4 linked regions of the Pelodiscus sinensis genome follow. The protein of the gene in region 4 interacts with the protein of the main gene of each other region in a pairwise test. Links are inferred from orthologs where the notes say so. Each region holds a gene or a part of one and is shown on either strand. Other genes may lie near its edges. The genes, in order: ERG28, GAPDH, RBM48 and TK1.

The links.
Region 1: the proteins of TK1 (region 4) and ERG28 interact in a two-hybrid assay, tested with the Homo sapiens proteins (2 studies listed by BioGRID and IntAct). The link is inferred for Pelodiscus sinensis from reciprocal best matches to the Homo sapiens genes TK1 and ERG28.
Region 2: the proteins of TK1 (region 4) and GAPDH interact in a two-hybrid assay, tested with the Homo sapiens proteins (2 studies listed by BioGRID and IntAct). The link is inferred for Pelodiscus sinensis from reciprocal best matches to the Homo sapiens genes TK1 and GAPDH.
Region 3: the proteins of TK1 (region 4) and RBM48 interact in a two-hybrid assay, tested with the Homo sapiens proteins (2 studies listed by BioGRID and IntAct). The link is inferred for Pelodiscus sinensis from reciprocal best matches to the Homo sapiens genes TK1 and RBM48.

What each region holds. Positions count from the first base shown.
Region 1 is NC_134714.1:43,678,625-43,686,619, reverse strand, and holds the start of ERG28 (ergosterol biosynthetic protein 28 homolog), read right to left. Parts: upstream 3,118-7,995; 5' UTR 3,012-3,117; exon of another isoform or gene 2,622-3,011; intron 2,385-2,621; exon of another isoform or gene 2,250-2,384; intron 2,104-2,249; exon of another isoform or gene 2,101-2,103; 5' UTR 2,088-2,100; coding exon 1,952-2,087; intron 897-1,951; coding exon 806-896; intron 1-805. Other genes in the region: tubulin polyglutamylase TTLL5, read left to right, coding at 4,446-4,522.
Region 2 is NC_134711.1:138,811,989-138,819,741, forward strand, and holds the start of GAPDH (glyceraldehyde-3-phosphate dehydrogenase), read right to left. Parts: upstream 3,268-7,753; 5' UTR 3,153-3,267; intron 2,689-3,152; exon of another isoform or gene 2,686-2,688; 5' UTR 2,665-2,685; coding exon 2,642-2,664; intron 2,142-2,641; coding exon 2,042-2,141; intron 1,844-2,041; coding exon 1,737-1,843; intron 1,644-1,736; coding exon 1,553-1,643; intron 1,349-1,552; coding exon 1,233-1,348; intron 1,080-1,232; coding exon 998-1,079; intron 710-997; coding exon 558-709; intron 400-557; coding exon 321-399; intron 1-320. UniProt on the Homo sapiens protein: Has both glyceraldehyde-3-phosphate dehydrogenase and nitrosylase activities, thereby playing a role in glycolysis and nuclear functions, respectively.
Region 3 is NC_134712.1:213,672,010-213,679,463, forward strand, and holds the start of RBM48 (RNA-binding protein 48), read right to left. Parts: upstream 3,278-7,454; 5' UTR 3,194-3,277; coding exon 3,083-3,193; intron 1,320-3,082; coding exon 1,129-1,319; intron 840-1,128; coding exon 694-839; intron 1-693. Other genes in the region: peroxisomal ATPase PEX1, read left to right, coding at 3,565-3,687, 5,825-5,971. UniProt on the Homo sapiens protein: As a component of the minor spliceosome, involved in the splicing of U12-type introns in pre-mRNAs.
Region 4 is NC_134730.1:29,476,822-29,484,150, reverse strand, and holds the start of TK1 (thymidine kinase, cytosolic), read right to left. Parts: upstream 3,182-7,329; 5' UTR 3,095-3,181; coding exon 3,035-3,094; intron 728-3,034; coding exon 696-727; intron 339-695; coding exon 225-338; intron 1-224. UniProt on the Homo sapiens protein: Cell-cycle-regulated enzyme of importance in nucleotide metabolism. Catalyzes the first enzymatic step in the salvage pathway converting thymidine into thymidine monophosphate.

The sequences.
Region 1 (7,995 bases), on a different chromosome or scaffold from region 4:
CAACACAATCTGGGATGAGATCCACGCAATCCTTAACTGGCAAACATATTCCACGCAGTCTGATGGGAGCATAGCTATGCACCCAATATCACCAGGATAATGAAACCCCAGGGCTGAGGGTTCCAGAATGAGGATCAGAAACAGGATTAAAAGGCTGTGTCAGCTCTGCTAATTATCAGCTTGATCTAAGAACTAGGTTCAAGTGAGCAACTCCTCTTTCTAGGATTCAGGGGGTAGTAATTAAACTTTTTACTCCAAGAGCTGCTCAGTAAGGGTACATCTACACAGCACTGTTATTTCTGAATAATTGATGTTATATCAAAATAACAAAGTGCGCATCTACACATAAGCAATTATTTTGACAATGTTGAATTAATGTCTAGTTGGAAGACTTCTTACTCCGACTCCTCTAAGGCTCATTTTACGAGGATTAAGGGAAGTCAGAGGAAGAGTGATCTATTTCAAAATAAGTGCTGTGTACATGCGCCCAAATTCAAAATAAGCTCTTTCGACTTAAACTATGCAATTAGCGTAGCTCAAGTTGCATATCTTATTTCGAGTTTAGCCCTGTTGTGTAGACATACCCTTAGAGACCAGTGATTAATCCACCATATGGGGCTACCTGTTATGATATTTCAAGGGAAGACTGTCTACCCCTACATCAAGAGGAACTCAAGGGGATTTCAAGAAGCAGCTATTGATAATGGCCAGAACTGCCCCATAAGAGGACTTAAGAGTAATAGCAGTGATAAGTGTACACTATGGGGAAAAAGGGACACCCTTCTCTGGCATTTCCCTTACATACGTCTTGTTGCGAATGTCAATAGCACAGGAGCAGCGAATCACTGACGACAGTAGAGTCCAGATGCCAAAAGTCCGAGCTTGGAGACCATTCACTGTGCAGAGAAGAAACAAATGAGGTAAATGAATGCTCCATCCCATGAGCTACCATCTCTACAGGCTCGACCAAGTGGTTGAGCGAAGGAAGAACATAAAATCTACTTCCAGGTAGAGAGTTACACCATATCAAGATTTCCTAGATGATTCAAGGGCAGATAAGTGTGTACGAAAATAGCTGCTAGGAATCGTGCTCCCCTTTCCAGTAACCACAGACCCTCAAGGGAGAAAAAGAACCAAGGCTGGTTCCAGTGCTTCACTAAATCAGAAGCATTGCTATGGATGCTGAATAGCACAGTAGAAGACAGTACAGTGTAGGGATGTTAGCTTTAGATTAACTGGCTAATTGAATTGTCGATGCAAATTGCATCGATGATTCGATTAGTTGATAAGGGAGCCTCCACCTTTGAAGTGTAGCAAAGCCCCAGGGAAAAGCGTTGCAGGGAGAAAGCGTTGCAGGGAGCACGGGGCCAGCGGGGGACTCAAAGCAGTCCCCCACTGGTCCCATGCTTCACACGTTTCAAAGTGGCAGTGCTGCACGGAGCCCAACCCTGGGCTCCATGCAGCAGTGCCGCTTTGAAATGCTGTGTGCAGCCCAGGCCAACTGGGGACTCCCCAGCTGGCATCTGACTGCATGCATTTCAAAGAGGCAGCGCCGCATGGAGCCCAGGGTCTGGTCCCGGGCTCCACGTGGCGCTGCCGCTTTGAAGCATCCCATCCTCTTTCCTCCACCTTGCTGCCTCTTTCTGATAGAGGCAGCAAGGGTGGGAGGAAGCAACTAGTCAACTAGTGTATTAACTAGTCGTTCACATCCTTAGTATAGCGGAGACAGGCAGGCGTGCTCCAGAGAAAACGAAGGTTGACTGCTGAAGAGGGTTGCCCTGGTGCGTTTGGGCTAGCATGTGGAATACAGGAAGTTAAGATTTGCACTGTGGCTCACTTCTGAGATGTGGACAAAAGTTCTTCAGGACTTGGGGCAATATGCTGATAAATGAGGAATAGCTACTATTGTAATGACTCTTGATGGGCAGGATGGGCAACTTGGGCTCCTTACCAAGGCTAGGTGTGCCTGTATACAGCTTCTCAGAGAGAAAACTGTGGTCACGAAAACTCTGCAATGTGTTCCCCATTGCGATGATGGACACCATGACTAGCCAGCTGCGCAACACGTTCAGAAAACGGCTCATCATGCTCTGGTACCTGCTTCTGGGGACAAAAGCAGGAGATCATCACAAAAGGAAACCACACGGATTCTACTCCCTAGAACTTTTCCACTTAAGCCAGGAACCCGGCTTTTCCACAGAAAGTCCCTTTCTCTTTCCATAAGTCCCCAGAGAGCAAGCAGTCCTCACCAGATAAAGCTTGCACTACACCCCTGATAATGCAAGAGTAGAAATCTGTATGTCCAGCAGCCTGGAACAACATGATGCTGCTGCCCCATCGTAGGGAGTTACTAATCTTCAGGGTCCTGGGCAGAACATGACGAAGTAGAAATCTTTGGTGCATCCTCTCCACCTTTCTCTCTCCCCCGATTGGAGACAACAGCTTACCACATCACTCACGTCTGCAAGACCGATCGTGTATCTAGCTCCCTGCATGGCAAAGCTGGGCACTGACACCCAAGTTAATGCAACCTACTTGTTAATGCCAGTGGAGAGATTTACACTCCCTGCCCCGCTGTCCCGGGGCTGAAGTCCACTCCGTTTCCTCCGGTCCCACCCCCTCCGTGCCCCACATCTCCCGCACAAGTCCCCCAACCCGTCTTCGCGCCGATTCCCTCCCGCCCTCGACTGACATCACCATTTTATCGCCCTTCCCCAACAGAGAACATTTTATCGCCCTTCCCCGAGCCCCTCCAGCCTTCCCACTATCTTCCCTGAGCCCTGCACCGCATCCTCCGACCAGTCCTCACCCCGCTGCACATCTGCTCCCAGCCCTTCAGCTCCAGCCGCTCCCCTGTGCCCACCCGCTATGCAGCAGCAGCCCCACCCCTTACTGGTTTGCGTACTGGTTGGTTCCATGTTAGCCCTGTCCCTACTTAGATTGGCTGTTAGACCCATCACTACTCACACGCCATATAGATTGATAGGTCACTACACGAGTCTCTATATTACCATAAGGCGCCTCCGCTCCTGAGGCGCGGTGACGTAAAAATGGGCCTTGTGCGTGCTTTTGGGGGGAGGCGGAAGTTGCAAGTGGCGCGGGCAAGGCGTGCAGCGCGGTGTTTGCGCCTGCGTGTTAGGAGGAGGGGATGCCTCTGGCGCCTGCGCAGAAGGGAATTGGAGGCGGTTGCCTGCCTGTTGGTTGTTGTAGTAACGGGGAAGCGTCGGGAGGAGGGAGCAGTGGCCGGTGGGGCTGCGTTGCCCGGAGCCCATCCCATGCCCCCAGGAAGGTGAGGCTGTAGGCAGGGGGAAGGCGGGAGCGCATGGCGCGGCCCCAGGGGCTGCCAGCTACGGCGGGGGAAGCTGCGGGTGCCGCCCGCCAGCGCGGCGGGAACGTGGCGTCCCGGGCTCGCTAGCCCCGAGGCGGCCGCGTTCGGCGGGGCCTGTGGCTTGCGGCTGTGGGGCCAGGTGTCTCCCTGGAGCCCGGCCCGGCCCCCCAGTAGGAGCGGACGGCGCGGGGTGGGGCGCTGCCGTGGGAAGCAGCCCCCCTGCCCCGAGGCGTCACGGGGGTGCTGGGCCCTCCGCAGGTCCCTTCTGGCTGCGCTAGTAGAGCGAGTCGGAGGCTCCTGCGTGGGCAACGACCAGAGGGCCTGGGTCGGCGCCAGACCGTGTGGCGGTGAAACCTGAAGAGATCATCGGAGCCTCCTGTCTGACCCCCGTGTGGAGCACCATCGCGTGTGTTTGACTAAAGCATAGCCCTATTAGGAAAGCCTTTGAGGAAGAAATGCAGAAGCAGGCAGACCTTTTCCAGCTAGCCTCTGAGTCCCGTGCACAGGAAAGTAACTTTCTTTTCTGGGAAGCTGATCAGAAATCTATCCTGGGACTCCCTGCACAGGAGCAGTTTAGACCGAGAGGGGTCTCGCAGGAGATTGTTCATAAGGGCTGAGGGCCCCAAAGAAGTATCACTGTGAGTGAAAAGTTACTTAACTAGACAGGGCACTGTATCAAAGAGGGGTAGCCATGTTAGTCTGAATCTGCAAAAGCGAGGAAAGCTTATGCTCCAATAAATCTGTTAGTCTGTAAGGTGCCACAGGACTCCTTGTTGCTGTGTAGTTAAGTGTCTTGGACTAGTGATGGTTCAGAGGAAAGTACAAAAGCTGACTGTTATGGAAGTTTTTTCCTGGTCCAAATAGTTTAGTTTATACCCTGTAGTAGCAGGATAAATGTCCCATGTAGATTTGTGTACTGTACTGGAAACAGTTGAGGTAGTGCTGTGGCCTCCTCTCTTTATGCTGAGTTGGCATATGTCTCTAGGCTATTCTGCACAGTAATATACTCATATTCCTGATGTTTATTACAGGAAGCTGCATTGGCTAGATCCACTGATCCTCTGTGAAAGGGACTAAGAACCACAGTGACTGGACTGCATGAAAATTCCTATATGAGATGCCAGTTGGGATGGCTCGAGACTTGGAGGAAACTGGCTCATCCACAGAGGAGGAAGAAGTGGAAGAAGAGCCAGAGTAAGTAAAAACATATACAATGCCTGAATAGTAGCTGTGCTTCACCTGGGATGTATGGGGTCTTTAGAGGATATTTACTAATCTGGTATGACCATTTCATTCCTCACCTGTAATCCTTCAGGTCTGTTTGCTGAGGAAGGAAATAGATGGGGTGGGTTTGGGGCTTTTAATCATAAACAAGTATGTTGGTAGGTACAGAAATCTTTGCTTTGAGGAGTCTAAAAGAACCCCACTTTCCTTCAGAGAGGGAGCCTCTGGGATTAGGGCTGATAGGAAGAGGGTGAGGCCTCATCTGCTGATTTTTCTCACTCTCCTCACTTCCTGGTGTCTTCCTTATTATTACTACATTCTTTCACAACTCCCTGACATCCCTTTTTCAGCTAGGGTGGATTCTCTTGAGTACCATCCAGGGAAATGTGTAGCTCCTAGTTCTACTGTCTGCATTTGTTTCCATTTTTGCATATAGAAACATAAGGTATTGCAGAGCAGCCTGCTATCATGTAGGTCATTTGGACTCTCTTATCCCTCATGTTCTATTTAAGGTTAATAGGAGATATGTTAGTCCACTCATCTAGGAGTTCCTGTCAGTCCTATCTCCCTGCTTTGTGTGGCACCTCCTTCCATCTCTATTGCTCTAGTGTCCATTTCCAGAATGGTGTCCTACTCCTGCATTAGCAAAGTCTGCTTTAACAAGCTAGGTTTTTCTGTTTCTCAAAGACGACTCTCAGCATAGTTTACCATGAAAAGGGCCCCTACTTAATGCTCCCAATAAAACTGAGTTGTCCACGTGTTCTCAGACATCCCAGGGAAGGGATAGGAGGGCCTGGGTTGGCGTCATTCAGTCAGATGGCAGTTTGGTACTGTGTCTGCATCAAGTAACCAACGTCATGCTAGGGATGAATCTGGACAGTTGCTTGGAGGATAGTATGAGTCCTGGTGGCCTCAGTGCAAATCCTCAGAGCAGAGCTTAACCTAAAGCCCCTTTTCTGCTGTCTCGGCTCTGTTCCCACTTACGTAAGTAAGGTGCTAGCTTGTGCTAAGACTTGATGCTGCTGTACACTGGCAATGGGTGAGCAACTGAATTCATCTAAGGGTGTGTGGGAGGATTCTGGGGCCAGATAAAGAGCTCAGGCCTGAGTGGTCTGGTCTGAGGAGGGGGGAAGAAGAAAGATTGGGCTTGCCTTTATTTAGGGATAGTAAATATTTGTTGAATGTTCACATTTGATCTGATGCACTGGATGGTCCACAGGGAAAAATGATCTCTGCTATCCAATGTGGAGAGTAGACCTACTTACATTTACTTCTTTATCTCAGCCTTGAGAAGGTGCCCACACAGGAATCTTCTTTGTGCACCTCTGTCTAGAAATGTGGGGAAGTGGGTATACAGATATTTATCTCTGCATTAGGGATGTAATGGTGTAGTAAATTAACCAATAAGCAAAAGCGTATAGGTTAATGCTATACACTATACGCATTTCCCCCTGCCAGTATATTTTATAGCAGGCTGGCCAGCAGCCCGGCTCAGTCCTGGCTCATGCCATGTCTGGGACCGACCCCTGCTACAACTCTGCATTTAAAGTGTATTAGGAGCCAGCTGGCTCAGTTCTGGCTCGTGCTGTGTCCGGGAGCTCAGCCCTCCTCTCTGCGCTCCCCCCCACCCCCCGCACCCCTGGACAGAGTATGACGCAGTAGTGTGGGGTGGTGGCAGGCAGCCAGTCTGAGGGGAGAGCTATTTTTTTAACTGGCTCCCCTCATGGACCAGCTCCCGCCAGGCACCCCGTGCTGCTGCCTCATGGAATGGCAGGGGGCTCCTCGGGAGCGGAGTTGAAGTGCACTGGCTGCCGGCCCCACCCCTGGGGACCATAGAATAGTTGAGTAACCAATAAGAATTCATGAGGTTAACTGACTAATCCGTTAACCAATATTTAACAAATATGCAATGGTACAGATAAGCATGTTACTGAATGACTTTTTAAAGTACTTATCACTAGTGTGAAGTGCTAGCCAATTTTAATACTGGGTTGATAGGCAGTTGAAGGAGGGACCGTTGAACCCAGAAATCGGATTCAAAGACTGAAAAATCAGGGATGGGGCAACATGTACAGGTCACAGGGATCTGGCTGATGCACAAGCAGAGAATTGTGTATAATGCCCTCTGCTCCAAGAAGTTGCCCCGGTGACTGAATCTTTTGTGTGTCACCCATAGTTTGCCTTCCCTTGCCCAGGAGAGAATCAGATTGCCTGGTTCTTTCAATTATTGGCCTTTCTCCTGAGATTGTGAAGTTGGAGAGGAGCAGTTGTGCTGGTGGCTTTGTGATGCGGACACCTGTTCAGTGGGAATTGCATTTGAAGCCATTGATTTATTTTATATTGGCTGAACCAATGTTCTGTTGAGGTTAGACACAAACTTTTGAGCTTACACAGTGCTCTGCCTCATGTCAGACCTGAAGAAGATGTGTGTAAGTTCAAAAGCATATCTTTCTTCAATAGAAGTCTGTCCAATAAAAGATACTACCTCACTCATCTTTTAATATCCTGTAACCAACACAGCTACAGTAACACTTCATATTGGCCGAACAGATCTTTGGAGCCCACTATCAATGTATGTACGATTTAAATCAAGAATTGAAGGTGAGAGGCTCTGTATCCTATCCCTATTTGTGGAGTCATCTCGTACTCTGGAATGAGTTTGATGGTGACCAAGGGTAGACACTTCCAGGGGTAAGGCTTCATTAGGAAGTTTAAATATTTCTCCTTGACACACAACCTGTGGATGCAGGCTTAGCAAACTAACCAATATCTGCTGCAGCTTTCTCAGCTCATACCCTGGTCTTCAGCCTCACCTAATGGGGTTGTCAGGCAGATAAAACAAGCCACATCGCTTGGCAAGCATCTGAAGAATATTCAGATAATGCCAAAAATTTTACATGCTGTACACATCCCCCCTTCTGCATATCTCTTTCTTCTGATTGGTGCATGTAGATCTAGAAAATGTCTTACTCCCTCCAAGTGTCAGTGTTCTTTGTAAGCTGTGCACTTGTGCAGCTGCTCAGGGGAGATTGAAATGCTGCTGAGCTGACCAGCAGAGTGCCCGCAGCTAGGTTTTTGTTTGTACTGTAGGTGCACATTTGAACATACCTTGGTGCACATAGCAAAACATATCCTGCCTTAGGGAAGTCACAGTGGAAACAGTTAAGTGATCATAGAACCATAGAGCTGGAAGAGACCTTGGAAGGTCATCAAGTACAGGCCCCTGCTCTAGGCAGGACCAATCCCAACTAAATCAACCCAGCCAGGGCTTTGTCAAGCTGAGACTTAAACACCTCTAGGCATGGAGACTCCACTGCTTCCCTAGGTAACCCATTCCAGTGCTTCACTACCCTCCTAGTGAAATAATTTTTCCTAATATCCAACCTGGACCTCTCCCACCACAACTTGAGACCATTGTTCCTTGTTCTGCCATCTGTCACTAC
Region 2 (7,753 bases), on a different chromosome or scaffold from region 4:
AGAGACACAGGAAGTCAGAACATCCCAGACCCCATGGCATGGCAGCTGCTCCCCAGGGAAGGTTGCTGCCAGCTTTGAGACTGCACTGCTAAGAGTATAGTTAGGACCCAGTTATGTCTGGTACTATACCAGACAGGGGCAGCTCCCCACAGGCCTGACTGTACCCCTTGCACAATCTCTTAAATCACAAGAAACAACAACAACAGTTCTAAATGGAATGGGGGCTTCAGAACAGCTGCACCCAGTCCCACACGTTGAGGAATGGATAGAAACTTAGGGGTAAAGGGAAGTTGCTCCAAGTCCCTTTTTGTGATACTCACTGGTTTCTGCAGGCGGCAAGTCAGGTCCACAACAGACACATTGGGAGTTGGAACACGGAAAGCCATTCCGGTGAGTTTCCTGTGAGGGAAACAGATCAGAATAGACTCCTGCTTGCCCCCAAACAGGGTTTCTGCACATCCTGCTGAGGAAAGGGCAAGACCGGCCAGCTGAAGGTTCACTACCCCTTCTGATGAATCCCCTGCTTTGGGGCACTGGGAGAAGGAACTGACACTCACCCGTTCAGCTCAGGAATGACCTTGCCCACAGCCTTAGCAGCTCCAGTGGATGCTGGAATGATGTTCTGGGCAGCACCTCTGCCATCTCGCCATAACTTCCCAGAGGGGCCATCCACAGTCTTCTGCGTGGCTGTGATGGCATGGACAGTGGTCTGGAAGTTGGGGGAAAAAGGGGGAAGGGTTAATTGAATTTCTCTAGAGCCTCACCCTGCTGACCTAGAGCATTCCTCCCCCAGCCTTCCTCAACTTTCCTCTAGTCCAGGCAGTATAGGGAGACACTCCTGCTCTGTGGGTTCCCAATCCTCCTTCCTCTACACCCAAAACTGTGGGTTGAGGAGTCCCAGCTTGAGTGTGCAGAGACACCCCTCCCCCCCAAAAGCTCCATGGTTCTGTCCCACTGACAGAGCTGGTGTGGGTTTTTGCGCCTCCAGATTACCTACCATGAGACCTTCCACGATGCCATAGTTGTCATGGATGACCTTGGCCAAAGGAGCCAGGCAATTGGTGGTGCAGGAGGCATTGCTGGAAGAGTCAAGAGGGACACATTAGCCAGAGGCAGTTAGTCAGGGCTCACCTCTCAGCTCCCTCCCCACAACTCACAAGAGAGGGCAATAGTCAGCTATGCACCTCAGGTTCAACCCTGAGAAGACTCCTGCAAACTGTCCCCCTCCTCACCTGACAACTTTCAGAGAATTGTCGTATTTCTCATGGTTGACGCCCATCACAAACATGGGTGCATCGGCTGAGGGGGCAGAAATGACGACACGCTTAGCACCCCCCTTCAGGTGAGCCTGAGGGAGACAGACCAACATTAACAAAATCCTATATCGCTCCAATACAGCAGCACATTTAGGACACCTCCCCAAATAATCGCACTGCAATACAGCCCCAGGGCAGAGAGAACTCTGTCCACACCCACTTCCACATGCAGCCAAGAGTCTCATCCCTACACCCTTTCCTTCCCACTTCCAAGCCAGATGTAACCCATCACTCACGCTGGCCTTCTCTGTGGTGGTGAAGACTCCAGTGGATTCTACAACATACTCTGCTCCAGCATCTCCCCACTTGATGTTAGCAGGATCACGCCTGAGGACGACACCAGAGTATTTAGAAACTGCAAGGCTGTCAAATGCCCTGTCCCCTAGCTCCAAGGGAAAGGGGAGGAAGAGTCATACTCACTCCTGGAAAATGGTAATTGCCTGTCCATTAATCACAAGTTTTCCATTCTCAGCCTTGACAGTGCCATGAAAGCGACCATGCGTGGAGTCATATTTGAACATGTAAACCTAGGAGTAACAGACTGAAGTTGAGTGCTGGCTGCATTGTGTTTCAACTCCCACAGCCCAGGCATTAACTCTGGGCCCCTCAATCCCAATGTGTAGCCATGGGCACTGGCAGGGTTCACAGGGAAATGGTATCACTGATAGCCACATTCCCAGGCCATCCCCAGAATGCTCCAAGTTATAGACCAGGGTTCCACTCACCATGTAGTTGAGGTCAATGAATGGGTCATTGATTGCTACAATCTGGACTTTGTCACAGGTGAAGGCAGCTCTGGTGACCAGGCGGCCGATGCGGCCAAATCTAGGCAAGGCAGAGAAGAGGCGAGCCTCAGGCAGAGCAGGGGAGCCCTGTGCCGATGGGTGCTGGCCACTCAGACTGGGCTTTAGCCCCAGCGGCTGCCCCGATGCAAAGGAGGCCCCCGCCCTACACTCCTCCCACCCAGCCAGCCGGGGCAGCAGGGGCCGGGAGCCGGGCAGCACACAGCGGCGCCTGGAGCCCCGCGCCCCCCGCTGCTTGCTCCGCCCCCGCCGACCGGGCGCTAAATTTACCCCGCGGCCCGGGTCCGGTTACGGCGCGGCAGGAGAAGGTCACATTCCCCGGGCCCGGCGGGACACGCGATACCCCGGCGCCCGTCCCGGGCCGCATGCGGCCGCCCGGCGCTTCCCGCTCGGGGTGACTCGCCCCCCCCCCCCCCCGGCAGCGGCGGGAGAAATGACTCAGCCGCCCGCCGGCGCTGCCCAGCCCGGTGCCCTTGCCACGCCCTTGGCGCCCCCCCGTGGCCGGCCCCCCCCGCCGCTCACCCGTTCACTCCGATCTTCACCATCGCGCTTCTGCCGGGATGCGCCTGCGGAGAGAGCAGGGGTCAGACGGCAGCGGCACCGCCCCCGGCTTCAGAGAACTGGCCCGAGGGCCTTGAGCCGCCGGGCCCGCCCCGCCCCCCGTGCGGCTGGACGGGCGGGACCCAGCGCCCGCCGGAGCCTCCAGGCCACTTCCTCCCCGGCCAGCGCCCGCCCCCCAGGGCTTTGTCGCCTCCTTCTCCCCAGGGCTTGCGTCGCCGAGCACCGGCAGCCTCAGCCCCGCGCCCCCCAGCGCAACCTCCCCGCAGCCTCCACCTCGCTCGCCCCGCCGGAGCACAAAGAGACTCCGGACGCAGAGCCCCACATGCCCGGCCCCCCGCGGCCTCCTTGCCCAGTAGGGCGGCGAGATGCAGCCCGCGCCCCACTCCCACCAGTATCCCGAGACTCGCGCTCCGGCCTGAGCCACCCCGGCGCGGCCAAGTGCCGACTCCCCGCTGCGGCTGAGAGCCCTTACCTGGGCCCTGCCTCTCAGCCACGCGCCTGCAGTAGGGGGAAGGTGAAGGGAGGGACTCTGGCTGCCCCGACCTTTATAGATTTCCGTATGGTAATCGCTGGGCCCAGCCTTTCGAGCAAGCGGCAAATCAGAGGCGGAGGGCTACGTGCAGCCCTAATGCTGAGGGGTTACGCGCCTCCTCTTCCCACGCCCATTTTTGGCCCTTCTCTCGCACTCCCTCGCCTTACAAAGGAGACTCAGGGGGCTCCCCCTCCCTCTTGCAGGCCCCACACAAGCGAGTCACATGTACAGATCCCTCCGATGCGCCCACTTGCTGTGCAGAGGGGAAATCCAATGTAGCTTCCCGTGCAAGGCGGTGAGACCAGGCATGCACTGGGCTTCGCCCGCTACCTCTTTTCTGTAACCAGAAACTCAGATGGGCACAGGCCCAGCCATCGAAGCTTGAAGTGCCTTGTGAGGCAGGGGTGGCTGGGACAGGGAACTGTGGGGATGTTAGGGCCCCAGCACAAGGGCCCACGGCTTAGATGCTATTGTAATGCCAGGGGCACTAAGCGGCGTCCCCTGCGCGCCTGGGTATGGGGAGGGGTGAGTTGAAAGCGCAGCAGGGGAGCAGATTACAAGTGGAGGGTAGATAAGGTGCGTGAGAAGGCCAGGACTGGAAGAGCAGGAGAGTACAGCCCGGCCCTGAAGGGTTAGCGCAGACCGGTGGGGCGGGCGATTATCCCCTTTCTCAGTGGGGTTTATTCTTTCGGTTGGTTGGCTCCAGTGAACTCCCTGCCGGAGCCCCGCCGCTGTGCGGTGGGCAGGGGAAGGACTCGCACAGCAATCGGAGCACAGTGGCGAGGAGGGGGCCGGAGGGGACGCGCACACGTGTCTGCGGGATCCCTCGATGGGGGCGCCTGTCTTCAGGGGCTCCGTCGGTCTTCCCCAGAGAGAGGACGAGGGGTCTGGAAGCCCCTCCCCCTCAAAGGGCCGTGCATGGGGGATGGGCCCCAGGGCTCTTCCCCGGTGGGAGCAGGCGAGCTGTCTCCACTCAGCCTGAGTTACACCTGGCGCTTCATTCTAGCTCGCGCTCGGAAGACTGGCAGGAGAGCGAGTGCGCCTCTACCACACACAGTACGGTAACCTGGCCACAGGCTCTGCGGTGGGGGCTGGGCGGGAGTTGCACAAGCCCCCGGGCGCGGAAGGAACGGGGCACAATTGTCACGTGGGCTGAGCAAGAAGGGGCTCGGGCCGGTGTATAGGCAAAAAGTGAAACCGCTCCGTTTTTGTGACCGTCACAGTTTCTGTCACGCACACATGACATTCGGTGCAACTGCTCAGGACTTGCTCCCTTTGCTGGCTGCTTGCAAATTCAGAGAAACTGTGTTTTTGGGTAGAAAAATCTCTGAGTTTGCTCAGTTCGGGTGCGCAGGCTCAGTGCACCCAAAGTCACAAATCCTGAGAAGTTAAGTGTTTCGGTCGCTGCACCGGCGCCTGCGGGAACAACTTCCCCGAGCCGCCCCCGCAGCAGCCTGGCACCGCCGGGGCGAGCCTGGGAGGATCCGCACCCTGCGGGCCCCTGTCCCTCGGCCCGGCCCGGCGCTGCCGCCCCGCCCCCCGCCACAGCTCCCTGGGCCTTTCTCTGGCTCGGCGCCCCCGCCTTGCCCCGGCCCGACGTGCTCAGCCTGGGAGCGCGGTTCCCAGGCGCTGGCCGGCCTGGCGTCCCGCCCTCGGGCCCGGCTCCAGCAGGCCGCGCTCCCCAGCGTGAGGAACATTCAGTAAGGCAGGGAGGCTGCTACCCGCGGGACGTGACTGCGGACATCCTGCCTACCACCTGACTCGCCCGCTCGCGGGGGGGGACAGGGCGTTTCCGTGGCTCGGGGCCTTGTGCGCGGGAGGGGGAGCACCCGCGGCAGGAGCTGCTCCTGGGCCGGGCCCTGCCTGGCTCACAGGCCGACCTCACCTCACCCGTGCAGCCCCGGGTGGGAGCCTTGCAGGATGAGCTTTCTCACAGCAGTGCCCCGGCGACGCCCTGCCCGAGCTGGGATGCCCGCCCCCCAGTCAGCTCGGCTAGGAGTGGCAGTGCCCAGCCGGGGACAAAAATCCCTGGTGCAGAACAGATCCCCCCTCCCCTGGAGCCGCGGGAAGGGTGAGAGCTGGAGCGTGTTTCAAACAACACGTTGGAGAGCTCTAAGGAGTCTCCCTTTCGTGAGACCGGGTGAGCTATGGAAATGCGTGCGGATAGTAAAGGAGTAAACCCTTCCTCCGCCCTGGCCCTGGCCCTGCCTACCAGGACTGGGGGGACAGTAGCATAGGCGCCGTAGGGAGAGGAGACAGTAGGAGAAAGCAAAGCACAGATAGGAATGGGTAGCAGAGCAGATACCAAGAGGAGCAGAGACAGGTCAACTGGTTAAGAAGTAATCCAACTCCCCTCATCCAGATGCTATTCCCAGGGCTGGGAAAGTGGGAGGGAGCTAAGTTTAGCTCGAATTGAAGTTATGACCTTTAATTAAAGGCCACAGGGATGGTCTATACCACACCAGAGGAGTGGGGACAGTTTGGTACTTCTGACCCACCAGGACATGGGGCAGATCCTGGGCAAAATGTTGTAGAGAAGTCAGGAAGAGGAGGGGATGGACGTTCTCTCCTGAGCTACTTGAGCATTTGCACTAACAAAAGGGCCTGTGTTGGCTGGAGAAACACACATTGCTGAGGACTCTGTGCAGAAGGAAGACAGACCAACCAAACAGCTGCAAACTGCTACACCCTGATCCTAGCAACCACCACTATAGTGCCTCTTGTTGGGGGAAAACCAGCACTGAAGTAGCTAAGAACCACTCCCACCAATGGTCCTGCTCCCCACTACAAGACCGACCAGGAGTAGAAAACACAGGTGGTACACATAGTTTACAACATGCCTGCCCGTGGCTCTGTACCATGGCCTCTGGACCTGGAAAGCAGTTTCTCCTGTGGTTAGCAGGAGAGAGAAGTTGACTGTGAAGCTAACAGTCTAGCACAGGAAGTGGAAGGAAGAGGGCCCAGGCTGCCCCATTAGGAGATAACAGGGACCTAGGCATGAGAGTCTACCAAGGGAAAAGCCTGCTCAGCAGCCAGTGCATTAGCAACCACGCTGTAAGGCTCTGGCTTTTCTGTGACTGTGCTGCCATCGTGAAAGGGGAGGTAGGATGGCAGCTTCAGCTGTGGAGTTTGGCAAAGGGGAGACAAAGGAATGCAAGTTGAATGGCTGTTACATAAGTATTAGGTCAGGCTGGGACAGCTGGTAAGATGAACACAGCAGAACAGTGTCTACTGAGGCAAACAGTCAGACAGGAGAGAATGAAAGAGAAAGACGTTCTAGGGCAATACAGGACAAAGTCTTTCCCCAGCAAGGAACCTGTCTGGATTCAGCCACTCTCTCTCACTAGCTGTAGGATGACAGGAGATTGTCCAGATTAGTACACACTGAACACCTAGACTGAAATGGGAAACTGGAGCATAAAAGATCAGGTCAGTAAACTAACTCCAAGGGGCTGCACCATGCCTAAGATGCTGCTGCCACCTGCTGACAAAAACACACCAACCAACACACATGCTTTTATTCATAGAGCAGAATACAAATAGATAGGAGGCTCCCAGGGACTAGAAGAATTTTTACTTTGAGGGTAAGAGTCCAGTTCCAGTCTGACTCCAGGGCAGAGGAGGTGTTTGTCTCAGAGGCTTGAGGAACATAATACACTTTTTCACCTCTCTGGTTTCTGTCACCCTCATTTCTTTCTACAGGATATCTCTTTTTCCACAAATAATACCAGTCCAAAAAGGGCTGTTGCAGAGGTTTTATTACAACTGGTGTTGGACTAATTTAACTCTATAGGCAAATTAATTACATATCTGTTTATTTACAAACATATCCTTATGCACAAAAACTACCACCAACACTAAAACATTCAGAACTTCAAACAGAAGAACAAAGGCCATGAGGATTTGTTTAAGGTCAGACTTGAGGAGCACTGGCAGAGCTGCACCGCAGGTGAGTGAGAGGTATTGATACAGGTGCACAACTGTGCAAGAAGGGGGCTCTGCCTACACTAAGCAGGCACTGCACTGTTAGGGGGCAGTTATGTTCAGCCATCTTTACCAGTTTCAGCCCCCCCCGCCCCAGTTTGGAGCACAAGACAAAAGAGTTGAAGGACACTAAGCAGTTCATTTTGAATTGTCCCAAAGGACAGGCTGAGTGCCTGTAACTCCTATGTCTAGGGAAAAAATATGTACCAGTCACACAGCAAACGAGCCAGCTTGCCATAATAAATTTTAAAATGACCTACCTGCACAAGGCTCAGCCTCACATCTCTCGCCTCCATAGCCCATAAAGAGAGCCTCGCTCCATAATTCCTTATTCCTCTGCTTTCCCCCTCTCCCTTCCCCCCAGCACTTGTGTCCTTCATGAGCCCCTTGGCCTTTGGACTCACCCACCTTCATGCATCCCAGATCCCACTTCTGGTATCCCCCCTCTGCAAGACTCCCCTCACCTGCCTGTTCCCCTGATTTCAATGCTTGTTCCTTTGTCCCATTCCAGAACTAGCATCCAAGATGACTGGATATGCCAATCTGATCCAACTTTA
Region 3 (7,454 bases), on a different chromosome or scaffold from region 4:
CCCAATCCACCCCACTCCTGCACCCTCCATACTTCCCAGATGTCTCACCTCAGCCCACTCCTGAATTCAACCTCCCATCCAGACCCCATTCCTCCCCTCTCCTGCACTCATTTTGTCATGGGTATTTGACTGGTAGTCTGTGGAAAGGTCTGTGTTGAGTGGGGTGGGCCAAGAAGTTTGAGAACCACTGTCTGGAATCTCCACAGTGCTGCATGCTGCAGCCCCACCACTGACACATCCCACCCCCACTATGTCTGCATCACCAGTCCCTGCAACTGGGGGAATTCTACCTTTGGTGGATCCATGACCTTAGGGCCCATTTACCCTGCACAAGGATCAGAATGGGGCTAAGACTCTCACCTCATGTTTCTTAGCTATGCTTATGTTTCTGATAAATGAGATCACACACCTCATTATCAAGAAAAGAAACTAGGGAAACAAAAGCATTAAAACCTATCCTTTTGTTAATCCCCTATTCACTATTTGTTTTATATTTTTTGTGATCATTTAGAATCCATTGAACACTGAGAACTTCCCATTCTGCTCTTAAAATACTGAAAACACAGACACGCACACTTTGTAGAAAAGTAAATAGGAACAATTAACTATAAGAATAGGCATTTTTACTTTGCTAAAACATACCCACAACACAAGCGATACTTTAAACTTTCAAAAGGGTGTCCAATTACAAACCTCTATTACTTGTTGCTTTTGCTATATACTTTCTCCTGTCTTGCAACTTCTCCCTTGTTTCTTGGACTGTTTCAAATTCTGGAGCATAACACACATGAAGCAAACTACCAAAGAAACTCCGTTCATCCATTTTTCTCTTGGCTATCCTAAATGAAAGAAAATTGCATTAAAATGTTACATTAGTCCAATATTACCATAGCTTACATTTTAACAAACGTATCTGTGGATCACTGATATTCTCTTGATCTATGTTTGTAATAAACGTTTACATGACTACACTGTACAGAGAACACATCATTCTTGTATTTACCAAGCATATTTACGTGGAATAAATATTTTACCTGAATCTCAAGAAATTTACTTGAAAATATATTATATTAAGAAACCAAAGATTGAAGAAAATGGAAAGCATACAGATGTTATCTGTTGCAATACCTTGCACTCTGTAATTTTTGGAATTTGATAAGATAAACTTCTGTAAATTGTTCCGCTGGATACTCATCTAAAGCATTGTACTCCTCAATGGCACCATATAATGCAAACTGTTGCACTAATTCCTTCATGACACCCAAAGCAGGAACGCCTTGTATTAGCAAATAACGAGATTCTAAGTTGACAGTGTACACCTAAAAGAAATAAAAACATTTACATACATTTATCTTGCAATAAAACATTAAATACTATATTCAAGCAGCTCAAGTATTTTTCTTCTATTGACCTCTTAGAACTTTAGAAAATTTTAAACATTCCCCCTTGATTTCAAGCCTGGAATCTTTCAAAGAAAGTATTATAGGGACTCCCAACAAACAGAAATCTGTAAGAATTCTATGATCAGCAGGGACTTCCTCATCAGTGACTGGTTATAGAACTCAATCATTCTGATCCAAAAGCAGATGCCTACCATTTGAGTTAGGTTTATTTCCGATCTGATCCAGTAAAGAGCAATGCTATATAGTCTAGCCAGTACATTACATGTGCTTTTCAACAATGAACATGTTTGCAGGATTGGGCCCTGAAGCTTGTATGTATTGTATGCAACCTTTCAAGACAAGATAAGGGAATACATTTTTCAATTTATTTTCTACAATTCTATGATTCAACTGAATGCTGGTAGGCTTTCTGTAGCATGTAACAAGACATCTAAAATGAGGCCAAAATAGTGCAAGAAGAATTTTGAAATGTGAGATTTCTTTCAATATTAATGTTTCCTATAGTTTCATAATCGAACATTCCTTACATTAATGATTAACACTCCCAATATGGCCAGGTTTGTGTGGAGTGGGGGATGTTAAATGTGGCCGGAACAAACTGATGTTTGTTGTAATGAGAGACGCACATATGTTAATCAACACAACACAACAAATAGTCTGGTAGCACTTTAAACACTAACAAAAATGTAGATGGTATCATGAGCTTTTGTGGCCCACTTCTTCAGATGACTGGAGTGTTGGAAGTCCAGAACCAAGAATAAATAAGACAAGGAGAGATGGGGGCGGGCAGGGAGGAAAAAAATTGGAGGGGAGGAAAAGAGGACATTGGGTACATACTTTTCAAAGGGATAGCAGAGCCAGTCTGAAACAGGAAACATTTAAAAAACAACAAATAGTCTATTAGCATCTTAAAGACTAAATAGTTAAAAGAGGCTGATAATCATTAGTTTGCACTATGAAAGGAAGAGTAGTGACACCAGATTCTACACAGACATCAAGAACCATTGACACCTCCTCATCACTCCTTCCTTTATTTATTCTTGGTTCTGGACTTCCAACACTCTGCTCATCTGAATAAGTGGTCTGTGCCCACAAAAGCTCATGATACCATCTACACGTTTTGTTAGTCTTTAAAGTGCTACCAGACTATTTGTTGTTAAGTTTTTCCTGTTACAGACTAACTCAGCTACCCCTCTGAAACTTTTAAATATGTTAATCAAATGGTTCCTAACTCATTGGTGGCAAGCTTTATATCGGTTTTTGCCAGAATGAAACCTCATTAGTTTCCAGGCAGCGCCAGGTAGGTGAGAGTGTGTGATGGGGTGATTTGCAATCCTGCACCATCCTATCACCCCAACAGGCTGCGGCCTTTGGATCACAATGCCACAAAACTGAACACAGAGCGTGCACCCACAGCCACTGGAGAGCAAGAGCCAGCCAGAGCCCCGCCCTGTGCCGTGCCCCCGGGTGGCCTTAGCCTGGGCCAGGGAGTGAATAACTCTGCCCCAGGCGCCGCAGCGTTCGGAGCAGGGTGACGCTCCCGCAGGGAGAACAGGAGGCGGCTAGAGCAGCCCGCAACCTGGCGCGTACCCGCGGGCGGGCGCGGGCATTTGAAGCCAGATGCTCGCCCAGGTGGCCCGTAGCCCGGGCTAACCAGTGCAGGCCCCGCACATTCCCACCTTCACTGCGCGGGGCCTGCGCCCCTCCCGGTACTTGGCGCGCGAGTCGCAGACGCCCTGCTGCGCGTGGTGTTTACAAAAGCCCCCAACTCCATCGCCAGGCACCGCCATCTTCCCATCTCCCCCCGCGCGCGCCACGGCCAGGCAGCACCAGTAGCTCCCCGAAACAGCAGCCAGTCACAGAACCGGGGAGCGATTACGGCGCGCTCATTGGCTGCGGGCGGGGACGCGCAGGAGAGATTTGGGCTGACCAGACAGCACCTGCAGAATCCCTCGAGAGAACAGCCAATCAGAGAAAGCGGGCGAAGGGGGCACGCACGCTCATTGGCCTGTGGCGGGCCGTACCAATGTTGCTGGAGGGTAGGGGCCAGTACTGAGGGCTCGTGCTTCCTTCTCTCTGGCCACACGGGGTAACGCTCCCTGAGTGCGGAGCGGCCGCTCGATGCTGCCGGGGCGCGCCGCGGCTGGGTGCGGCCGGGGCGATGTGGGGCAGCGGCTACCCCGGAGGCGCGGGGGGCGCTGCTGTGACTGTCGCCTTCAGCGGCACCCGGGACTGCTTCCTGCACCTGCCGCCTGCGCTGGCCTCCCACCTTCGCCTGCAGCAGGTACTGGGGCGGGCCCCGGCTGGGCGATGGGACCCTCGGAGCGGATCGTGGCAGAGCCCCGCCCCTCTCCCCACCAGCATGCGGGAGGGACTGGGAGGCGCCCCTCTAACTTTCATGGCTTCACCCCTCCTCGCCAGCATCCCCCTCAGGGCTACGGTGACATCGCTTCAGTCCCGCTCCCCCGGTCCGTTAGACCCCGCCCCCTGCCATCCTAACGCCAGGCCGTTCTCTCGCCGCTTCCCTCCCCCCAATGCCAGTGATGCAGTGACACCCCCTGCCAGATCTCCTCACATACCACCGATTACCCCACTGCCAGCGACATCCCATCACCAGCACTTCCTTATCGTGCTCCCCCTCCATGCTCGCCAGTGGCGCCCCTCAGTGCTCGCCAGTGGCGCCCCTCAGTGCTCGCCAGTGACAGCAACTCCTCTGATGCCAGCACTTTATCACACTCCCCTCACACCAGTGCCCTCTCAGCCAGTAATGCCTCCAAAGCCAGCAATGCCTCCAATACCACCATTTCCTCACAACAGCCCCTAATGCTAGCAAAACTACCAGCACCTCCTCACAACCCCTGAGGCCAGTGATGACTCTGATACTAGCCCCTTTGCATTGCTCCCTTTCCATGCCAGTTACACCCACGCTGCTTGCAGTGCCCCCAATGTTAACATCTCCTCACTATGTCCGCTAATGCTAGTGATGCCCCCAGTATTAGCATCTCTTCATGACACTCTCTGCAATACCAGTAATTCGTTACTACCACCAGCACCAACACACAATGTCCTCACAATGCCAGTAAGTTTTCATGGTGGCCCCAGTGCCAGTGATTCACTTTGAATCGACTGCCTCACAAGACCCCTGATCTAGAGGTGTAAAAAGTTAACCAATTAACTGATAAGCATTGCTTTACTGGCATGCTTATCAGTTAACCCGTTAATTGGTGTGGAGAGCAGCCAGCCGCCCACAGCACAGCTATGGCTGGTTGGAGCAGCCTCTCCACCTGCTGCAGGGTGTAGGAGTTAATTGCGGAAGAGTTTTGTACATGTAAGTTTAGGGGTGTGAGGCCTGCATTCTTACCCCTTCCCCCATATCTGATGAGCCAGAAGCATGTTTTTGGGAACATATGCCATTTAAGATAAGCATTGTTGCCAGTATAGCAAGAACGAGGGTAAAGGGCAAGAACGCATAAACAATCCTGTTTACTCTAATGCACTGATCACTTAAACAAGGCCAAAGAACAAGTAGAACAAAATCAGAACCAGATGGATAACTAACAGCCGAGCCCTACATCAGCAAGTAATGAATAACCCCTGGAAATTTCCATACTGCCAAACAAGGCAAGAAAACTGTATTTAAGACTGCTCCAAAGCACAGCAATTTGGACCTCACCGATGGGCTTTGGGTACCGGTGCCTCGGAAGCTGAGACAGTCTCTCACTTTGTCCGGCTAGCCAAAGGGACGTAAGATATGCCACTTTCTGTAGAGTTGTCTTCAACTCTAGTTGACTTGTCCAGTGAAACAAAACAAATGCAGTGTCATATATTTTTGATACATATACATGATACAACCCCTGCTTGTCTCCTTCCCCCAAAAAATTGTACCATGGAGTGTTATCCCTGATTCCTAATGATACACAATCTGCCTATACTCATCCAATTCCCTCCTAATATCCCCTTCTTTTACATTTTCCACACTCTTAACAATAACTTGATAGAATCTAAATTAATCTTTAAAACAATAAAGAGCCAAGAAGATGCATATATTGAGGTACCAAACGGGTTCGTAACCTTTTGTGTGTGTAAATCTCTACCTTCGTTACTTTATGTTTCTAGTATCCATCAAAGCAAGGCCCCAGTGATCAAATCAGAGATAGATAGGCAGATCTTTGCACCGGCATGGAGTGTCGTATTCAGATTTTCAATGATTCAGTGTATTACAGTGTATTTCTGTCTTGTGCTAAGATGCTACATTATTTGTTAAAAGAAAGCATGGCAAATCCAGGAACAAACCGCATTTCTTCATTTTGTAATCAAATGTCAGGTTTTGTCTATACTGTTAATGAGAACAAGCAGTATTTGTGGAGTATAATTTTATTTACATTGTTTTCTATTAATGTTATTTTGTTGTCTGAAATCAGCAGGGCCAAGCTGTGAAAATCTCCTTGGGTTACCAGCCTATATTTTTGAGTTGGATGGAAATTAGACATCGTAATCACCATGGTGAAAATATTGCTGAAATTAACAGACACCTAGCAGAGAAACTTGGCATTGCAGAAGGAGAACAGGTTTGGAATGCACTTTTTTTAAACAAAATTTCTGGAAGAAATAATGCTTTCATTTAGGTTCCAATTGTGCAGCCTGTTCCATGCAGGCAGACAGATCCCCACTGTCCTCACTGGGACTGAATGCAGCAATATTATTGATGCTGCTATTTCTTTTCACTTTGTATCTGTTGTGTTCACTATAGGACATCTATATCCTAAGCATACCACAACAGCTATGTTTTACTTCTGAGGGAATTGGGGAATTCTGCATTATTGAGCATCACAGAATTCAGATTCTTTAACCCATGCCTAAGCTTTCCCGCACAAAATCACAGGGAAGCAAAGGGAAGCTGCAAGAGTGTGGTCACATAACTGCATGGTATTTGGCACTGGGAGTAGTTGGTCTGGGGATGTCCATGGATGTAGTTTGGGGGAGGCATTGCTCCCCCAATGCTCCCCCAAACAGAAGCAAGGTATGGGGGGGGGGGAGTATGGAGGATATTTGCCACTGTGTTGGGGGCATTTCTGCTAGGAATGCGATTTAGGAATGTGAACAATTAGTCAACTGTCTGATAAATGATTATTGGATAGTCTACAGGCTAGTCGTCTAATTGCTTCCTCCCACCTGGCTGCCTCTCTCAGAAAGAAGCAGCAAGGGGAGGAAGAGAAGGGGTTACTTCAAAGCAGCAGCACCACGTGGAGCGTGGGGCCAGACCCTGGGCTCCAGGCGGCAATGCTGCATGGAGACTGGGCCAGCTGGGGTGTCCCCAGGCTGCATGCAGCATTTCAAAGCAACAGCGTTGCATGGAGCCCGGGGTCACCGGGCGAATCCCCAGCTGACCCCAGGCTCCACACAGCACTTTAGCTTTTGAAGAGTAGCAACAGCTTAAGGGCTGTTGCTATACTTCAAAGGCAGAGGTGCCCTATCAACTAATCAAATAGTCGATGCAAAATATATCGAGCATTTGATTAGTCAATTCACTTGATATTTAACATCCCTAATGTGATTGCGTATCCAAGTACACAGTTAACTGATAAGCCTGGGCTCATCAGTTAACCCTCTTGGTCACATGCAGACCCCACCCCCACTGTATCAGTGGCAGTAGTGTGGGGATGGAGGGGCAGTCGGGAGTTGGTATGTGCAGGGAGCCGGCTTTCAAGCCTTCTCTCTTTCTCTCCCGCCCCTGCCCCCCCCCCCCCCACCCCCCCCACACACACAGCTGCTTCCCACAGAGGCATCAGTGCAGGCTGGAGGAGAGGCAGGAGCCATTGCTTGCAGGGAGCTGACTTTTAAGCCCTACTCCCCACATTGCTGCCTCTGTATCTGAGGCAATAGCATGGCTGGGGGGACAGCTCCCGCCTTTCTCCTCCCATCCCTCCATAAACATGTATCCATTGAAAATTTCAGCAGTTACACGTTTACACAAATAAACGCGTTTTAACATCCCTAATTTCAGCAAGTGCAGAGCTACCTGGCTGATGGAGAGTTCAGTTGAGGCTGCTG
Region 4 (7,329 bases):
CTACGTCACAGAGGGTTCAAGCTGTTCTGAGGGGCCTAACCCTGTGCCACTTACACTTGCTGCGGCTGCGGGTCAGCTAGCTGTAAAGAACACCCCTCCTGAAAGCAGCATGTGGAGGGCCGAAGGGCTGCCAAGTGCCTAGACAAGCACCACTGAAGGCAGGCCTGGTGAACTGTAAGCAGAGTTCTCTATAGTTACCCGCCCCGATACTGGGATGAGCTCACCTGTCGTGTGTGGAGACCCCATTGGTGCCGTAGCGCGTGTCCTTGGCATACTTTATCAAAAGGCATTTGTACTGTGCAATCTGGAATCTGCGGACCCGGCGCAGGAGCTCCGTGCTACAAGACAATCAGCCCCAGCATGAGGCTAGCACAGGGGCAGGAATGGCTATTACCGCCAAGGATTCCCCCAATGCAAAGCAGCATCCCAGCAGGAGGCAGCGCAGCGGGGGCAGGCCTACCAAGGACACAGAGGCCAGCTGGCAGCCCTGTGATGGGAGCAGGGACCTGGGGAGGCAGGTGGGCAGCACGAAGGGCCCTTTGTGGCTCCGCTAGCAGCTGATCTAGGCACGGACGCCCAGCAAAGCAGCTTAAGCGCCAGCCCCTGCCCCGGGGCCCCAGCCCAGCCTCGGGCAGCGCGACCCACCCCCGGAGACTCGACGAGGGACCCCCCAGCGAGAACCCCGCAGCCCCTACCTCTTCCCGGAGAACATGGGCCCGAAAATCACCTGGGGAGACAGGAAACGACCTGAGACCGGGGCTGAGTGAGCCCCCCCCGAACCCCAGCATCCGAACGCCACCCCCGGGCCTGCGCCCCCCCGAACCCCGGCATCCCGAACCCCCCCCGGGCCTGCGCCCCCCCGAACCCCGGCATCCCGAACCCCCCCGGGCCTGCGCCCCCCCGAACCCCGGCATCCCGAACCCCCCCCCGGGCCTTCACCCCCCCCGAACCCCGGCATCCCGAACCCCCCCGGACCTGCGCCCCCCCGAACCCCGGCATCCGAACGCCACCCCCGGGCCTGCGCCCCCCCGAACCCCGGCATCCCGAACCCCCCCCGGGCCTGCGCCCCCCCGAACCCCGGCATCCCGAACCCCCCCGGGCCTGCGCCCCCCCGAACCCCGGCATCCCGAACCCCCCCCGGGCCTTCACCCCCCCCGAACCCCGGCATCCCGAACCCCCCCGGGCCTGCGCCCCCCCGAACCGCGGCATCCGAACGCCACCCCCGGGCCTGCGCCCCCCCGAACCCCGGCATCCCGAACCCCCCCCGGGCCTGCGCCCCCCCGAACCCCCCCCGGGCCTGCGCCCCCCCGAACCCCGGCATCCCGAACCCCCCCCCGGGCCTGCGCCCCCCCGAACCCCGGCATCCCGAACCCCCCCGGGCCCGCCCCCCCCGAACCCGGCATCCCGAACCCCCCCCCCGGGCCTGCCCCCGCCCCCCGAACCCCGGCATCCCGAACCCCCCCGGGCCCGCCCCCCCCGAACCCCGGCATCCCGAACCCCCCCTGGCCTGCGCCCCCCCAAACCCCGGCATCCCGAACCCCCCCGGGCCTGCGCCCCCCCGAACCCCGGCATCCAGAACCCCCCCCGGGCTTGCGCCCCCCCCGAACCCCGGCATCCCGAACCCCCCCCCGGGCCTGCATCCCCCCCGAACCCTGGCATCCCGAACCCCCCCGGGCCTGCGCCCCCCCGAACCCCGGCATCCCGAACCCCCCCGGGCCTGCACCCCCCCCGAACCCCGGCATCCCGAACCCCCCCGGGCCCGCCCCCCGAACCCCGGCATCCAGAACCCCCCCCGGGCCTGCGCCCCCCCGAACCCCGGCATCCAGAACCCCCCCCGGGCCCGCCCCCCGAACCCCGGCATCCAGAACCCCCCCGGGCCTGCGCCCCCCCGAACCCCGGCATCCAGAACCCCCCCCGGGCCTGCACCCCCCCCGAACCCCGGCATCCAGAACCCCCCCCGGGCCTGCACCCCCCCCCCGAACCCCGGCATCCAGAACCCCCCCCGGGCCTGCACCCCCCCCCCGAACCCCGGCATCCCGAACCCCCCCCCGGGCCTGCGCCCCCCCGAACCCCGGCATCCCGAACCCCCCCCCGGGCCTGCGCCCCCCCGAACCCGGCATCCCGAACCCCCCCGGGCCCGCCCCCCCCGAACCCCGGCATCCCGAACCCCCCCCCGGGCCTGCGCCCCCCCCGAACCCGGCATCCCGAACCCCCCCCCGGGCCTGCGCCCCCCCCGAACCCGGCATCCCGAACCCCCCCCCGGGCCTGCGCCCCCCCGAACCCCGGCATCCCGAACCCCCCCCCGGGCCTGCGCCCCCCCGAACCCGGCATCCCGAACCCCCCCGGGCCCGCCCCCCCCGAACCCCGGCATCCCGAACCCCCCCGGGCCTGCGCCCCCCCCGAACCCGGCATCCCGAACCCCCCCCCCGGGCCTGCGCCCCCCCGAACCCGGCATCCCGAACCCCCCCGGGCCTGCACCCCCCCCCGAACCCGGCATCCCGAACCCCCCCGGGCCCGCCCCCCCCGAACCCCGGCATCCCGAACCCCCCCGGGCCTGCGCCCCCCCCGAACCCGGCATCCCGAACCCCCCCCCCGGGCCTGCGCCCCCCCGAACCCCGGCATCCCGAACCCCCCCCCGGGCCTGCGCCCCCCCCCGAACCCGGCATCCCGAACCCCCCCGGGCCCGCCCCCCCCGAACCCGGCATCCCGAACCCCCCCCCCGGGCCTGCGCCCCCCCCCCGAACCCGGCATCCCGAACCCCCCCCCGGGCCTGCGCCCCCCCCGAACCCGGCATCCCGAACCCCCCCCCCGGGCCTGCGCCCCCCCCCGAACCCGGCATCCCGAACCCCCCCGGGCCCGCCCCCCCCGAACCCGGCATCCCGAACCCCCCCCCGGGCCTGCGCCCCCCCCCGAACCCCGCATCCCGAACCCCCCCCCGGGCCTGCGCCCCCCCCCGAACCCGGCATCCCGAACCCCCCCCCGGGCCTGCGCCCCCCCCGAACCCGGCATCCCGAACCCCCCCGCCCCCCCGCACCTGGATCTGCCCACGCGCCTTGGCGGGGGAGCCGGGCCCGGGCGCGCTCAGGTGGCTCATCCCGCTGCTGCTGCGCAGGGGCCCGCGCGCCTCGGCTCCTCCAGCGGCGCCGGCCAATCAGCAGCGGGCCAGTCCCGCGCGCGCCCCGGGCCACCAATCAGCGGCCTGGCGGGAAACGTCCTCGGATGCGGGGCGGGGCGGTCACGGGGTCACTGCCCCCCCCCATCGCCCAGGGCCCCCCCGGCCCGCAGCGCGTTCGCCCCGCCCCGCCCCGAGCCGCGCAGCCCCGGGGCGGGTGCAGAGGGGCGAGACCGTGGCGGGATTCCGGGGGGGGGGTTGGTCCAAGCCAAATGAAAGCGGGGGGGGGAGCGGGGATTGCAGGGGGGGCTGATCCAAGCCAAGTGGAAGCGGGGGGGGAGCGGGGATTGCAGGGGGGGTTGGTCCAAGCCAAATGAAAGCGGGGGGGGGGGGGGGGGAGCGGGGATTGCAGGGGGGCTGATCCAAGCCAAGTGGAAGCGGGGGGGGAGGAGCGGGGATTGCAGGGGGGGTTGGTCCAAGCCAAATGAAAGCGGGGGGGGGGGGGGGGAGCGGGGATTGCAGGGGGGCTGATCCAAGCCAAGTGGAAGCGGGGGGGGGGAGGGAACGGAGATTGCAGGGGGGGGGCTGATCCAAGCCAAGTGGAAGCGGGGGGGGGGGAGCGGGGATTGCAGGGGGGGCTGATCCAAGCCAAGTGGAAGCGGGGGGGGGGGAGCGGGGATTGCAGGGGGGGCTGATCCAAGCCAAGTGGAAGCGGGGGGGGGGAGGGAACGGAGATTGCAGGGGGGGGGCTGATCCAAGCCAAGTGGAAGCGGGGGGGGGGGGGAGCGGGGATTGCAGGGGGGGCTGATCCAAGCCAAGTGGAAGCGGGGGGGGGGGAGCGGGGATTGCAGGGGGGGCTGATCCAAGCCAAGTGGAAGCGGGGGGGGGGGGGGAGCGGGGATTGCAGGGGGGGCTGATCCAAGCCAAGTGGAAGCGGGGGGGGGGGAATTGCAGGGGGGGCTGATCCAAGCCAAGTGGAAGCGGGGGGGGGGGGGAGCGGGGATTGCAGGGGGGGCTGATCCAAGCCAAGTGGAAGCGGGGGGGGGGAGCGGGGATTGCAGGGGGGGCTGATCCAAGCCAAATGAAAGCGGGGGGGGAGCGGGGATTGCAGGGGGGGTTGGTCCAAGCCAAATGAAAGCGGGGGGGGGGGAGCGGGGATTCCGGGGGGGGGTTGGTCCAAGCCAAATGAAAGCGGGGGGGGGAGCGGGGATTGCAGGGGGGGGTTGGTCCAAGCCAAATGAAAGCGGGGGGGGGGAGCGGGGATTGCAGGGGGGGCTGATCCAAGCCAAGTGGAAGCGGGGGGGGGGGGGAACGGAGATTGCAGGGGGGGCTGATCCAAGCCAAGTGGAAGCGGGGGGGGGGGGGGGAGCGGGGATTGCAGGGGGGGCTGATCCAAGCCAAGTGGAAGGGGGGGGAGCGGGGATTGCAGGGGGGCTGATCCAAGCCAAGTGGAAGCGGGGGGGGGCGGGGATTGCAGAGGGGGCTGATCCAAGCCAAGTGGAAGCGGGGGGGGGGGGGAACGGAGATTGCAGGGGGGGCTGATCCAAGCCAAGTGGAAGCGGGGGGGGGGGGAACGGAGATTGCAGGGGGGGCTGATCCAAGCCAAGTGGAAGCGGGGGGGGGGGGGGGAGCGGGGATTGCAGGGGGGGCTGATCCAAGCCAAGTGGAAGGGGGGGGAGCGGGGATTGCAGGGGGGCTGATCCAAGCCAAGTGGAAGCGGGGGGGGGGCGGGGATTGCAGAGGGGGCTGATTCAAGCCAAGTGGAAGCGGGGGGGGGGGAACGGGGATTGCAGGGGGGGCTGATGCAAGCCAAGTGGAAGCGGGGGGGGGGAGCGGGGATTGCAGGGGGGCTAATCCAAGCCAAGTGGAAGGGGGGGGGAGCGGGGATTGCAGGGGGGGCTGATCCAAGCCAAGTGGAAGCGGGGGGGGGGGAGCGGGGATTGCAGGGGGGGTTGATCCAAGCCAAGTGGAAGCGGGGGGGGGGGGAGCGGGGATTGCAGGGGGGGTTGATCCAAGCCAAGTGGAAGGGGGGGGAGCGGGGATTGCAGGGGGGGCTGATCCAAGCCAAGTGGAAGGGGGGGGAGCGGGAATTGCAGGGGGGGTTGATCCAAGCCAAGTGGAAGCGGGGGGGGGGAGCGGGGATTGCAGGGGGGGCTGATCCAAGCCAAGTGGAAGCGGGGGGGGGGGAGCGGGGATTGCACGGGGGGCTGATCCAAGCCAAGTGGAAGCGGGGGGGGGGGAGCGGGGATTGCAGGGGGGGCTGATCCAAGCCAAGTGGAAGCGGGGGGGGGAGCGGGGATTGCACGGGGGGCTGATCCAAGCCAAGTGGAAGCGGGGGGGGGGGGGAGCGGGGATTGCAGGGGGGGCTGATCCAAGCCAAGTGGAAGCGGGGGGGGGGAGCGGGGATTGCACGGGGGGCTGATCCAAGCCAAGTGGAAGCGGGGGGGGGAGCGGGGATTGCAGGGGGGGCTGATCCAAGCCAAGTGGAAGCGGGGGGGGGAGCGGGGATTGCAGGAGCTTGGGGTGACCACGCTCTTTGTTATTTTGGCGCTTAGCCACTCCGGGGCAGGGGTCTCCCCTCTTGTCTACACGGCAGCTGTTGGGGGGGGTCAGGCCTGGTCAGGCGGGGGCGGGGGGAGCTTCTGCACCAGGTGCTGTAGTGGGGACGCGGACGGGACGATGCGACCCCTCCCCTGGCTGGGGGCGCTGCCTGGCCGAGGGACCCAGCTGTGCGCCCTGCTGCTGGGGAGCCCGCGGCGCTTCCTGCGCTTTGCTGGAGGGTGCCCCCCGGGTGCCCCCCCCCCCGCCTCCGCCCCCCCAGAGTAGCCAATGGGGCCGGGCCGGGCCGGCCCCACCCCGCGCGCGGGCGGCCGCAGGGGGTTGCTTTGCGCTGGCCACGCAGCGAGCCGAGCGCAGCCGGTGCGGGCGGGCGGGGGCAGCGACATGGGGCGGTGGCAAGACATGACAGACGAGGTAGGGGCTGCCCGCTCGGGTACTCCTGGGGGGCGGGGTAAGGAGGGAGCTGGGTCCTTGTCCAGCTGCTCTCAGGACCTCGCTTAGGCTGGGTCTACACGGGCCGATCCTGCGCCAGAAGTATGCAAATGAGACTAAGGTGGAATATCTCCGGAGCCTCATTTGCATACCTAATTAGCCACCATTTTGCGGAAGAGGCTCTTGTCCCAAGGAGCTGTCTACAGGGCCCCTCCTTGCAGGAGAAAAAGCCTCTTGGGCAATGCTGTGAAACTGATTCATTCCAGGGTTATTTTCTTCGGGGCTGACACCACTGGGGTTTATAACCAGCTGTTCCAGGACCCTTCCTGCCATGCTGGAGGGCAGATCAAGAAGAGTTCCGCAGGGATCAGTGGCGGGTCCGGTTCTGCTCAGTATCTTCCTCAATGATTTAGAAAGTGGCAGAGAGCGGGATTATTAAGTTTGCAGATGATCCCAGGCTGGGAGGGGTTGTGAGTGCTTTGGAGGATGGGTCAGAATTCAAAATGATCTGGACAAACTGGAGAAATGGGCTGAGGGGAACAGGGTGAAGTTCAATAAGGACACATGCAAAGTGCTCCACTTAGGGAGGAACAATCCGTGTCACACACACGATGGGCAGCGACCGTCTAGGAGGGAGCCCTGCTGAAAGGCGTCCAGGGGTCATAGTGGACCACAAGCTAAATATGAGTCAACAGTGTGACACTGTTGCAAAAAAAGCAAACATGATTCTGGGCTGAGTCAACAGGGCTACGTCTACACTGGCAGGATTTTCCAAAAATGTTTTTAAGGGAAAAGTTTTCCGTTAAAAGCATTTTCGGAAAAGCACATCTTGGTTGGCAGGATGCACTTTCTGCGGAAAAGCGTCCGTGGCCAATCTAGACGCGGTTTTCTGCAAAAAAGCCCCAATCGCCATTTTCGCAATCGGGGCTTTTTTGCGGAAAACAGTTCTGTGCTGTTTACACTGGCCCTCTTGCACAAATGATTTGCACAAGAGGGCTTTTGCCCGAACGGGAGCAGCACAGTATTTCTGCAAGAACACTGACGATCTTACATGAGATCTTACATGAGATCGTCAGTGTTCTTGCGGAAATTCAAGCGACCAGTGTAGACAGCTGGCAAGTTTTTCCGCAAAATCATCTGATTTTGTGGAAAAACTTGCCAGTCTAGAAACAGCCCCTGAGTGTTGTGAGCAAGACACGAGGAGTCGTTCTTCCGCTCTACTCTGC